Styela clava: one gene and its partner. The protein of the gene in region 1 interacts with the protein of each later gene in a pairwise test. Links are inferred from orthologs where the notes say so. Each region holds a gene or a part of one and is shown in the gene's direction. Other genes may lie near its edges.

Evidence for each region.
Region 2: the proteins of 26S proteasome non-ATPase regulatory subunit 4-like (region 1) and UV excision repair protein RAD23 homolog A-like interact in a two-hybrid assay, tested with the Caenorhabditis elegans proteins (3 studies listed by BioGRID). The link is inferred for Styela clava from reciprocal best matches to the Caenorhabditis elegans genes rpn-10 and rad-23.

The regions. Positions count from the first base shown.
Region 1 is NC_135250.1:20,480,392-20,488,035, reverse strand, and holds 26S proteasome non-ATPase regulatory subunit 4-like, read left to right. Parts: upstream 1-4,827; 5' UTR 4,828-4,975; coding exon 4,976-6,133; 3' UTR 6,134-7,113; downstream 7,114-7,644. Other genes in the region: translin-associated protein X-like, read left to right, coding at 7,135-7,644. UniProt on the Caenorhabditis elegans protein: Binds and presumably selects ubiquitin-conjugates for destruction. Required for protein degradation and ubiquitin-proteasome system (UBS) function and regulates proteasomal subunit expression. Involvement in UBS might be cell type specific.
Region 2 is NC_135251.1:21,488,543-21,495,271, reverse strand, and holds UV excision repair protein RAD23 homolog A-like, read left to right. Parts: upstream 1-4,063; 5' UTR 4,064-4,112; coding exon 4,113-5,228; 3' UTR 5,229-6,059; downstream 6,060-6,729.

The DNA.
Region 1 (7,644 bases):
ACTGCTCCCCAGTCTTACCAGTGACTCACGGGGTCCCACAGGGTTCGACGTTGGGTCCATTATTATTCCTCGTCTATATAAATGACCTCACCCACTGTTCTTCTTTCTTCGCAAAACTATTCGCTGACGACACTATACTTCTAGATAGTGACAAATCTCTACCAGCTATACAGTCACGAGTGAACTCTGAAATTGTAAAAGTGGTTAATTGGATGAAGGCTAACAAATTGACATTAAATATCGATAAATCTAAGTCTATGCTTATTTCACCAAATAAACATGAAGCCAATCATAACTTATTAATCTGTATTGACAACATTACATTAGAAAAAGTCAATTCTTATAAATATCTGGGCATATATTTAGACAGTCAAATGAAATGGGATATTCATATAACTAACTTGGCTGCTAAGTTATCTAAGTCGGTGGGAATACTGTACAAACTCAGGCATTTTATACCAATTTCGACTTTACGTATGGTTTACCACTCGTTATTCCAAGCCCATATTCAATACGGTATTTCTGCATGGGGCTCCGCTGATAAAACTCTTTTACGCAAAATTGAAATAATGCAGAATAGGGCCATTCGTGCTGTGTCTGGCAGTGGACCTTATGCCCAACTTGATCCAATCTATTATAAACTTCGTATTATTAAAATGGTGGATATTTATAAATTAGAGATATTGAAATTGATGCACCAACATCACAACAAAAAACTCCCTGTTACATTCACTGATTATTTCTTGAAACAAAGCAGCGTGCATTCTTATAGAACACGATCCTCTGCCAGTAGTTCCTATTATGTAACTCATTTTTCAACCAAACGTACTCAAAATTCGATAAAATATACAGGCGTTAAATTATGGAATGCTTTATCCGATAACATTCGAATTATGAATTACAATTCATTCAAACAAGCTTTGAAAATTTTTTACCTGGATTCCTATGTATCCTTTTAGTCTGCTTCAATAAGTGGTATAGATCCCTTATAAGTATAGTAGTGTACCGTATACAACCCATGTCCCCCACCTTTTGTGTGGCTCGATTTTTCTATAACTGGTCATTCGGTCCAGGATCTCTATTTTACCTAAACGATCGTGACTTTTTTCACCTCTTAATGCCATTGGCATTGTCACCATTTTTCTTTATTGTCCTCACAGAGCACGACCATTATCACTGAGTTTGCATCATTGCCCAAAGTACATGTGGAATGAACTTTTCCCATCAAAACTGTTTTTCCTGTCTGAATTGTACTTATATATTTATTTATTTATATATTGCCGTATCAGTACCGATACTTAATCCAACCCGGCTTCCCCTGTTATGGTTGCTGGGAATTCCCCTTCAGTTGCTAAGTTTCTGCAGCGTCCTGCCAGTCAACAATTTCATATTGTGATTGCGATCACCCGAGCATGACGCTGCGAGACTGACATACTGATTTATCGTAAACGCGTTTTTTCTGACTTTTACTCGACACGATGGATATTTGTTCCCATTTAAACATTTCTCTCTCGATTCCCTTCACATTTCTTTTTAAACCATTCTCTTTTGACTTGCTCTCTCGATTCGATTTACGTTTTCTAAATTTCCCCTGAGCTAACTTAATTCTAGATTAATCATTTCTTCCCCGACTCTCTTGATTCCATTCATACTTTTTATTTAAACTTTTCTCATTTGGCTTACTCTCTCGATTCGATTTACGTTTTCCAAATTTTTGCCCTGATCATACATAACTCAACCTTAATCAGCTAATGGCTAGCCGGCTACCCATCAGAATTTTCTTTCAGATCACAAAGTCGCAATATTACGCCCCGCTAAGTTTCATTGGCAACTGTATTTGGTTGTAGTATCGGTGTCCAACTTTAGACTGAAACCTTCACTACCAACCCCACCGAAACAAAAAAATTTTCTTGATAGGGTCGTATTGAAGTTGCTTTCGTTCAAGCACAATAGACACTTTATTTCCACCAATCCACAGTAATCACAAGTTACTTTGTCATTACGTTAAGCACCAATAAATGGATGCTGAGGTCTTGTGCCACTGTGGTCTTGCCACTGTGGCAACTTATACTTTGCCATCCATCTATTCCATGGTCACACCCATATCTGTAAGATAAAGGATACAGATTCATTTGATATCATGATCCTGCACTAGCTTTGTAATATTTGTAGAGTTTTCGTAAAATTTAACAATCAAGTGGTGTGAAATTTATGTCCATATCCCACCACAAACACTAGTCGTAAATGAATTTGATTCCGGCTAGCATATCTTTTTTTACCAATGACAATAAAAAGACATTTTGGGACAGTTGTACAAGCACCTTTAGGATTGCAGGTGCAACAACTAAATCATATGACGAATCACAGTCTCTCGTACGATTACCAGTCTATGTTGGGATTAGTTAGTCAGTTATTTGTTCTCAGAAGCATGGACTTGGATGGTGGGGGATGGTCGTAACCGATCAGCGGTCGTGTGAACTGCAAGGAGGAGAGCTGCAATTCTCTCGCACATAACTATCCCCTCATGGGATTGGAACCTGTGAAACTACCAGGGTGATCAGAGATGCGGTGGCGAGCGTATTCCTAGATGGCGAATTCAATTGAATTCTGGTTATTTTTTGCATGACCACTGGTGTTAAACTTTAGTTATCTATTCAACCTCAACCGTTCACTCTCAGTAATAGATTACCTGCTAACTAGTAACTAGGGAAACAATACATTATGGCAATTGATGATTAAATTCCTTACACAAGTCAAGTCTGCAAGTAGGTCTAGGCCTACCAATAACAGTAGTCTGTCATCTGCTTTCCATTGAAATGAGAGAGCTTATGGATATTTAAAAAAATTGATAACGGCACATTATCACTCACCATCAACGAAGTGCTGTCCGCAAACAGTGAAATACAAGCGAGATGACTTCTGGACTTGACACCAACACCAAGCAGTCCTGCCAATAGATGATATCCACATTGCACGACGTTCCGGATCTTTTGAAAACAGGTGGAATATAACTGAAGATCCATTTCGTTGTCTATACTATACGTACAGCCAACAGAACAATACGAAATAACCATTTTCAACAGCCAAACAAAACGGAAAAGTATAATCCGACTTGCAACTGACAGAAGCCAAATGGACGTTTTTGTTTTTATTGCCGTCCAGTAACGAAGTCACGTGACCCGTGCAAGTCCTCTATATGTCATTGGTAGGCTATAATCTGCTATTTGTGAGAATATCTATACGTGGGTAACAAAGCCCTAAAATCCCGGGATTTTTAGGAAATATTTGCGGGATCGGGACTGAAAAAAAAAAACAGTTCAAATCCCGGGATTTCGGGATCGGGTTTTCTTGGGTCCCAATGAGCATATATTTGCTCATCGCGGGTCTCAACTCTACGAGCAACTTCATACCCGGGACCCAATGTGACGCCAAATCGGAACAAAGTAGAAGTGTCATATGTATAATTTTGAGCGATTATTTGATTTTATCAAGTTTCATGCTTCTGATATTAGATTAATAAAAGGAATTCAAAATAATATCCGAACTAGGGTTAGTTCGGATACCTATAATTTATACTATCCGGATAACGGATATATCCGGGTATTTTACCTATCCGGTTAACCGGATAGTTAGTTACTGCTAATTTCAGAGAACCGATTTTACAAGATTTTTGTGGCGAATTGACTGAAAACCACCACACAGTTCTATTGTAAATACGTACATATGTATTATTTTTCTCGAATAAAAATGATTGTGCATTTTGATGTTGCATGTGTCAATAAATAAAAATTTAAGCTCTGTAATCGTACAGAAGTGCAGCTGAATAATATAGTGAAACATTGTTTTAAATTCTGTGTCCTAATTGTCTTCCTCTCGACTGCTAAGTTATTTTCTCATATTCAAATCCTATGTAAAAATTTATATTATTCCTTTTTTTATTGTTAAATTTTTTGGAAGTTTTTTTCTGTCTAGACATATAGCATATTTTCTTTAAATTTTGACTCCTACTAAATTTTGGTGTCGCAGACTCACGATGACCATTTCTTCAAGCTTTTAAGTTCAATTAGTTTAACATACACCTGACTTAGATAGAATAGATTTATTTTCAGCTGGTATATCTTTTGATTCGATTGATACAGGGAAATTTGAAAAAACATATATACCAAAGTTAAAAGGAAGCACATAACATTTGGTTGTGTACCCAAAATTTTGAAATGCTACACAGATTACATGGAATCGGAAGTATTGTGAAATAAGTCCTCGAAATTCAAACTGGTTTACTTCATGATAAAATGCGTTCCTTCAATACACGCAACAATTACTAAAAGCCACACCCGACATAAAAGCAACAAACTCACACCCACCCAACCAATACTTTTCAAATGAATTCGTTTAAGTTAGTCTTTCTTAAACTGTACCTCCAGTTCAAATCTAACTTTATAAAGCGAATAAGCTCTCCTAATAAGCGCAATAATCACATTTGTTCTGCGTGTTTTGTGATGTAATAGTGAAGTTCACTCCAGCATTCTACGGATGGCTAAAATATATATAGGCAGATTAGAGTGGAAAAAGTTGTTATTATATGCTCTGGGAGATGTCAGTCGCCACTCAACAAAAAATATAAAAACCGCTAATCGCGCATATGTATTATTTATACTGCTCTATTATCCGGTTAACCGTCACAATAATATCCGGATATCAGATAGCAAAATAACTCTTGGTTAACCGGTTAACCGCTATCCGGATAATCCAACCCTAATCCGAACATAAGTTTGAGGCCAAAGGTCGGGGTCACTGATCCGAAAAATAAATTCGCTGTGTCATGAAATAAAAATAATGCTGTGTTACAACTGAACCATTGTGATCCTGTAATACAGTAATAGGTGTAAGTTAACAGTCGGCGGATCAACTAGTTGCGATCTTTTTTGTCCAGTATCTGAAAGTTAAATCGCGCTGAAGTAGACTAGATATCAAGATGGTTCTCGAAAGCACAGTAATATGTATCGACAACAGTGAATACATGAGAAACGGGGATTATTTGCCAACAAGAATCCAAGCCCAACAAGATGCCGCGAACTTGGTATGCCGTACAAAATTACGTTCTAACCCTGAAAACAATGTTGCGCTACTCTCTCTTGCTGATGTTCAAGTTCATGTTACATTGACAAATGACTCAGGAAAGTTGCTATCAAAATTACTTTTAGTGCAACCTAAAGGGAATATTAGATTCTTAAATGGCATCCGTGTTGCACATCTTGCATTGAAACATCGTCAAAGTAAAAACCATAGAATGCGTATTATTGCCTTTGTCGGAAGCCCAATTGAAGACGATGAAAAAGAAATAAATAAAGTTGCGAAAAAACTTAAAAAAGAAAAAGTAAATGTGGAAATAGTAAACTTTGGCGAAGAAGAGTTGAACACACCAAAACTGACTTCGTTTATCGAAATACTGAATGGAAAAGATGGAACAGGATCTAATATTGTCAATATACCTCCAGGATCCATGCTTTCTAATGCTTTAATGAACTCCCCAATTATTGCTGGAGAAGGTGGAGCTCCCAGCTCTGGCGGTGGTGAATTTGATCTTGGATTTGACCCAGCATCGGATCCAGAGCTTGCTCTTGCTCTTCGTGTGTCATTAGAAGAACAGCGTCATCGTCAAGAAGAAGAAGCTCGAGCAGGATCAGAAATCCAAGAAACTCAGTCAGCTCCAGCAACTGCAATGGCAACAGGCACTGGTGAGGATGACATGTTACGTGCGGCTCTCGCAATGTCAATGAATCAAGAGGTACCAGCCACTGCACCTCCTGGTAGTCGCCCTGTTGATATAAGCTCTATGTCGGAAGAAGAACAAATAGCATATGCAATGCGCATGTCAATGCAAGAAGAAAGCTCACAATCTGCCATGGACACGGATGAGAAAACAATTTCTGAGTCCCCGATGGTGGCTGAATATGGTGATGATGGAGATTCGAATGAAGAAGATGTAATTGCTGATCCAGCGTTCCTGCAGAGTGTTCTACAAAATCTTCCCGGTGTGGACACATCGAGTGAAGCAATACAACAAGCCATGGATCAACTTGCTCAAAACAGACAAGATTCTGATAAAGACAAGAAAAAAGACAATGAATGAATTCTGACTACGCAATTATTGACACAAAACTGTTTCGAGAATATTAATGACGGACATAAAAAAATTTTTCATTCTGCCAAATTTCAGAATAAATACTGGCTGGCGAATATTATTGTGAGATATCTCTCCACTATTTCATTATAATATGATACCACATTCACAGTATGTTCTTGTAATTTAAATTAGAATGGCTGACTGAAGTTCTTTATTATCAATCAAGTGATTTCGCACTATCCACTTCTCCACAGATTTAAACACTACCTGTTATAAAGAGATATTGAAGACACTTACTTTGGCAAAGAACATCTTCACTTAATTGTTGAATGTTGTGATTATTCATCCTTGTAAGCTTTAGGTATTTTACAAACCTATACTGGCAGAATGCAATTCTTATTCTAAATGCTTCTATGACATACTATTGTCCATGTTAATATTTGAGTTCAACATTGGATTTTTGTGAAAAAATTTGAGAGTAATAAAGTATTTCGTTACAGAATTCACAAATTTTCTGATTTTATAGAATGAATGGTATGTGTATTCATCCTTTTAAAAATTAGGTCTTCTATCAAAAGTAGCAGCAAACGAATATTTGTTATCTAGATGCTTATATTACATACTAAGGTCCATTGAGCTTTAATAAAGTTATAATTCATGAAGAAAATATGCCTCAAACAAAATATCTGAATTGAAGCAGTAATTAAATTATCAGTTTTAGACTGTCAATTCATCTACTTGGGATATTGCTGTTAATTTTCAATATGATTTCATGCAGCCCTTGAAAGTTGAAGTTGCTCCAAGTGTTTCTTTTTGGGTGATTATGCTGAGAGTGTGTTCTGTCTACATTGTTCAAAAACATTCTTTTTCCAACTTGACATACATAGGTAGCTATTTGAGTTAAATAAACAGCTTTCAAATGCAATGAAGGCAAGATAAATGTAGTGTTTACTTATTTTCGTTTTGTTTCTGTAACCTATAATTAGTGGTAACATTTATTATCTCTGATGGATGTTATCGATCAGTTTCAATTATTTCAACAAGAATTGGAAACAAAACACAACAAATGGGAAAAAATTGTGAAACTAAGCCGTGACATAACGATTGACAGCAAAAAATTGATTTTTCTGTTACACCGAATTGATATTACATCTCCAGAAACAAACTCAAAGTTCAAAATAATTACTGAGGCTGATGAAAAATGTGATATTATTATGAAGAAGTGGAAACAAATTGCTACTGAACTGCAGGATGAGGATTCGCATGCGTACATTAGAGCATTCTCCCCAGGCCTGCAGGAATTTATTGAAGCAATGTCTTTTTTGTACTATTTCAAAACTGAAGAAAACTACAGTATACAAAGCATTTCCAACTGTTTACTTGATCTCAGTGAGATACAAAAATCTTTGGTTTTTGCAGATGATGAAAATAAAGAACCTTTAGTCATTCCAATACCAGTGTTGGAATATTTATACGGCATCGCTGATACTACTGGTGAAGTCATGCGCTTATGCATT
Region 2 (6,729 bases), on another chromosome or scaffold:
TGATGCCTATATTGTTAGCATATATTCCCGACCAAAAAGTTAGAAAGCCAGATAACAATTTAGACTGCCAAGCACATCACTAAACTTCGCTAGTTTCCCCAGCTGGTCATAACGCTATTTAATTCAGTGACATTAGTGATGAAAATGTGTTAAAAGGTTTTTCTGATTAATTTTATGACAAAACAACACCAAATGCGATTTTTCGATTACTCTCCGAATGTGACGCGGGCAACAGATAATGAAGCGGCACATGTGGCCCGCGGGCCTGGGTTTGGACTACCCTGATGTAAACGATCTCATGGCTAGCACATTGTGTGGCCTAATGAATTTCATCGAAGCATATACATTATAAGGTACAAAATTTAAAAACCAGCCGCCGTGATTGGTGTTGCAGCTCTCATCAACTTATTATTGGCAGGATATTTCGATGCTTTTGCGTCGGAAAATGTAAAATATTTACTAGGTGATCTAGCGACATCATCATGTCTTCTACGTTCTCGTTGATAAAACTTAATTGTAATTTTATCGATATCCAACAGTGAAAAATTGGCCTTGATGTTTCCGGGGGAACCCTAAAAAGACACGGGGTTCAAATTGTTTGTTTCTATGGAAAGTGTCAATCCTGATGAATGCCCACAATCGCTACTAACTTTTTTTAGGTCTTACACATCTGATAAATATTTGAAAATTGATAGTTTCACACAATATTTATGCCACCCATCCAAAAACGCAATCGTATTTTTGCGCGAAGTATAAACTATATTTCGCGCAAATATTAATGCCTTTCATAATATATGTTCGCCTGATACTTTTCTGACAGATAAAGTTGCTTGAAATATAATTTCCTATCTTGCCACAATATCGCTTTCAAAATTTTGAAACATTTTCTCAATTTAAAGTTAAATATTCACGCAAAAAAGGAGACAAAAAAAATTATTGAAAAACGGTAAGCTAGTAGACCTGCGGCAAAAGCTCAAGTCAAATAGATGATATCTTATTTTATACACTGCAGATTATTAGATGTTCTTGATATACTCCGTTATCCTTCATTCCATGCATGTAGTATATTTTTTTAATATTATTTTAGCAATGTACACTTTGTTGAAAATTTGCGATACGCATATTTTAATATCATGACATAGCCGACCGCAAAAATAGTGCAAATTTCTGTAGTATAATTTGTATTGTAGTTCTGTCAGTTTGTTAAAATAGGTTTTGCGCAAGTAGCGATACTTACATCAGGAATTTTATAATAAATTAATAATAAAATGTGTATCTTTTGGTTAAATATTTTGGTCTTATTTGTGTAGTTGATTTATCGAGTGAAGTTGGATACCTTTAACCTTCACTTCGTATATGCTGACCATACCGCCGAGCCGAGTTATCCGAGAAACATCTGCGGATAATTAATTTTTCAGAAAAATGTTCATTCGTTTTGCCCCTGCGAAAGTTTGGTCCGAATTATTGAGCATCGTTTTTTTTTTAATCAGCTGTTTAACGATCGCAGGTTTATTAAATCACTTAGTTAGGATCATACGGCGGTAGAACTCTGGACACAAAATAGCTGGTGTGACGTCACACGAGCGCTTATAACGTTACCAATGCATGTCCCCCACTTGGTTTATAGTCACTTTGGGTTTACTGTACCTTTAGCATCACCGGTAACCTAAAAAAACTTACCATTTTTGAGCAACGATTTTTAGAATCCGCCTTCACGCCGTTTCACGTTCGATGGCACGTGATCATGCGTCCGCAGAAGGTTCGGTGACGTCATAGCAAACAAAAACAAATCTCACAGAGCTAACAGAAATATTTGAAATAAATAAAAGTAATGGATTTCTGTAGAAAAAATCAAACTTTAACCACTGAAAATTTCAAAGCAATTAGTCCAGTATTCGAAGAGAAAAGCGATTTTATAATGATGGTGACGAAGAAAGATAACAATAAGAAGAATGCCAGCATAAAATGCAAAACGATCGTTATGTCCACTAAAGTGTCCAATAAGATAAACATACTAAGGCAAAACGATCGTTATGTCCACTAACGTGAAAATGCATAAATCATGACCGTGATATCATGTGCCATTTCCAATGCGTTGGGGCGCTGTTGCACTCGAAATGTGAATCTGCGGAGTACCGGTAATGAGTTATAAACGTCAGGTGTATCGCGTTTGTTGAAAGGACTGAAATTGTGTTTAAACAAAATAAAACAAAAAATAATTCTGTAGTTGGACACGTATTAGCATATTTTGCTGACTGTAGAGGAGAAAAAAAAAATTGCGTTTGACGCTATTTCTAATTATGAATAAAAGTCTGAAAAGTTATAAGTAATACGGCAGCGTTGACTTTGTTTTTGTGCTAATAAATCTCCTCTCTTACACTAAACAGAGAATACTAAGATAAAAATAGACTAGAGGAATGTAACATCTGTCTGCGATTCAATGTCTAGACTCTAGTTCAATGTAAATCCAGTTTTTATTTATACACAAACAGACAAACCAGTACCGGTACGGGTACGCATAATAGCATGTGAGAATACTGTAAAGCCTGAATACCGTACTGTAATAAATAGTTCACTGCTCTTCAGCTGGTGGTTTGGTCAGTGGCAGAAGATCACCGTATGCCATTATTTTGCAGAGCCAGCACTTTAAGGCTTTGACAGCATTAGGATAAAATTATGTATTAGTGATAAGTAACTTATATTACTGTATTATATCCAATTTTTATTTACTGCATGCTTTAGCTCCTATCACAGCGGTTCCCACAGAGCAGTTGGAGGGGGACCACAATGCTGGGCGCAAAACTGATTTTATTTTTCACTTTAATAAAAGAAAACTTTTTGTTTTTAGTAGTTTATTGCTTGAAAAGGGTGTTTCCGCTTGTTCTTATGCATGGATTATTTGAACATAATGGGATTTGCAAATACCAATCAAAATAACACTATGACTACCTCTGAAATGATAAACAGGGGGCCACGAGCCATAAAAGGTTGAGAACCACTGTCAGATTGATATAGACCACTTGCTGACTTGAAATATCTTATATTTATGTTTTGAATTAGCAATTTCTTATTTATATGAATTGTTTTTAGTTTTCACAACATAGAATATTCGGGTCTCATGTAGTTTTATACCTAACATACTTCTAGTAGGCGTAGCATAACAATTTTTTCATGTGTCAATCCTAACCCCCGCCTGACTACATCATCCAAAAATAACGCCATTACGGCGTCACAGTGACGTAATAGAGCCCTTCAAACTATACGAACTGACATCCAAGACGCGTAGACGAGCACCCGAAATCGAACAGCTATTTTTCTCGTAGCAACGATCCCAATAGGAGAAAGATCGATGACGTTAGTCAGTTCTTTATCGTCGGCGCCGATGCCATTTCGGGCGATCGTACATATATTTGGCAAGCTCTATGACGTGATTGTGATGTCGTAGTGACGTAATTTTTGGATGGCGTAGTCAGATGGGGTTAGGATTGACATATCAAAAAATTGTTATGCTAGGCCCATTAGAAGTATGTTAGGTACGAAACCACACGAGACCCGAATATTCTTAATATATGTTAAATGCTATCTTTGTGTACATCAGTTCAGTTTTAATTGAATCCAAGTATGTTAGACACATAACCTACAACAACAGTTCCCAAATTTTTTGTTCATGCGGCACCAAATTATCAGGGCAAATCTCACAACGCACTTACACGAAAAAAAATATCTTCCTTTAAATATAAGTGAATTTTGTTTCATAATGTGTACTTTATGCTTTTGAAAGTTTGAAAACATGTCACCCTAACGAATAAAGGCAATGTTAACTCTTCTGCAGCAAATAGTGTCTGCCTCTATTGTTACGTAACGATAGGACACAGAATTTAAAATAAAAAACAATAAAACATTTATAATAAATACAATATATAAAATATTAAATCATATTGTTTAATATGATTCTGTCAATTGCCCCTTTGAGAATCACTGGCTAACGAGATGATCTGAAAAATTTCTGCTTGTTAAGAGAACTTACTAAATTCTGAAATTGCATGATATTTTTTTTATTTTCGATAATTATTTTATTTTTCAGACCTAAATAGTGAAAAGTATATAAAAAAATGATAGTTACAATAAAAACTTTGCATCAGCAGACTTTTACCATTGAGATTGATGAGAAGCAAACAGTCAAAACTTTGAAAGAGAAGATTGAAAATGAGAAAGGAAAGGAGGCGTATCCTATCGACGGACAGAAGTTAATTTATGCTGGTAAAATGTTAGATGATGAAAAAACCTTGGCAGAATATAATATCGTTGAAAAAAATTTCATTGTTGCTATGGTTTCTAAACCCAAACCAGCTCAAACGACATGTTCCGCTCCAGCTCAGTCCGCAACTACCACACAAGCGGCCGATGCCCCAACAACTACTCCTGAGCAGCCTAGCACAACAGAAGATACAAAACCAAAAGAGGATGAAAAACCTCCAGAACAAATGGATACAAGTTCATCTACCACACCCGCAACTTCGAGTGCTGCTGCAACTGGATCTGAGATAGCATCAGCTGCAGCATCTGCCCTTTTAACTGGTGATGCCTATGAACAGAATATCACTAACATTGTCAGCATGGGATTTGCAAGAGATGATGTGGTAGCTGCTCTTCGGGCAAGTTTCAATAATCCTGACAGGGCTGTAGAATATTTGACAACAGGAATTCCTTCAAATCTTCAGACGCCACAACCTGCTGCGGGTGGAGAAACGGCAGTTGCAGCTGCGGGTTCCGAAGAAACTCCTGCGGCAACCAACCCACCAGCAAGTTCTGAAGATCCTTTCGAATTTTTACGTAATCAACCAGAGTTTCAGAGAATGTGTCAAGCTTTGAGAGAAAATCCTTCATATCTGCAAATTTTTATGCAGGAATTGCGAAATTCAAATCCACAATTATTGGAGCAGATTAGTCGTAATCAAGCTGCTTTTATTCAGCTCATCAATAGCACAGAAGGTCAGGCTGCTGGGAGCACTGAGCAGCCTGCGGAAGGGGGGGGAGCTGGGGGGACTGGCCCTCCACCAGGCACCCAATACATTCAGATTTCGTCAGAAGATAAAGCGGCAGTGGATAGGTTAAAAGCGCTCGGATTTCCAGAAGAAGACGCTCTACAATTTTATATGGCGTGTGATAAAAATGAAACCCTGGCTGCCAATTTACTTTTTGAAACTATGGAAAATAACGGTGACTGAAATTCATGTAAAAATTAATTTGTATTGAACATTTGTTTCTTTCGGAGTTTTATTTGTTTTCAGCCTGGGTAGATAAAGTTGGCCATGACACCAAGCGAATCATCAGGATCAGGACTTATCCTAGGAAATATCACATCTATGCCAGAGGGACAGTTTTCGATTTTTGGTGTGGCTTATTGGAACTGTCAGTAAACTTAATTTGCCATTTGAAAAATGTTTCATATTCGCATTTATATGTTATGTATGATCAATTAGGTATTTTGTATGCTGATTGTCTCACACAAGAGATTATTTTTATATATCAGTAATTTTGCAACATAAATTTGTCAAATATTTTGGATTGTTATGAAGGTGAAAAAAAAAATCAAATTACTGGTTGGTAATGATTGAATAAATTGTTAAATTTTTGTAATTGTAATTTTTGTATCGCTCAAACACCAATATTCAACTGATATAGTGCATGAATATATATATACCAATCAAATAACTGAATAAAATTGTCCAATCTTTTTGATATTGGCTATGAATAGAACAAAAGCACACACTCAATTACCTCAAGGCCGAGCATAGATTCCTACTATAAAAAATAGTTATTCGATGCAGTTGTCCTGTCCCCAACTGCACTACCTGGAAATACAGCTGATAGTACCCCAGAAATTGTTTGAAAAATGTTCATGCATGAAACCTTTCAAATACATCCAATTGAAATCCAATACCCGGATAGATAATAGTAATCAAACAATACTTAATTCAGTTTCATACAGTTTTGTTCTTTTGCCTTGGTGTTCCATTTTTGGCAAAAAATAAAAAATAAATTTGTAATATTGCGAATCCGAGTTTTTTTATTCGATATATCATTAAATGAGGGAGCTTCAATGATTTGGCGTGATACGAAGTTTATTTGGCACACCGTAAAAATTGTAATATTGCCAATTAGTGGTCAGTCAACAGTAATAATATTTCTTCTGGGTAATTAATTTTAATGTATGGCTAGAAACTTGGGTTGCATATTGATCTGCAGTCATTAAAGGAGTGGTGATCATTCTTCTCACAGCATGTGGATTGATGATCATTGTTTGTTGGAGAGTTGAAGCCCGATTTGTTGTAATTCAAAAGGGTCATTGTCCCAAGTGTTAAGACTTATCACCTATGCCCATTATTTTGTATGGATTCGAATCCTGGGATTAACATGTGAGATATGTACAATCTTTGCTGCAGTATTGTTATTGATCTGACTGGTAATCGATTATGGCTTTTGCCACCATCAGTATTTGTGAGCTTAGAATGAGTTAGCTGTGTTCATACCTGAGAGGCAATGTGATTGGTTCGTCTTAGCTTTTCCCTTCACTTGGATAAATATGGAAAAAAAAACTATATACAATTCATTATCGTTTGTATTGTGCTTCGGAATATGCCTATGGAAGTTTTAATACAATTAATTTTCATTGTTAACTGACATCTCCGGTACAAATCATCTTTATACCGTACCATTTCTTCAAAA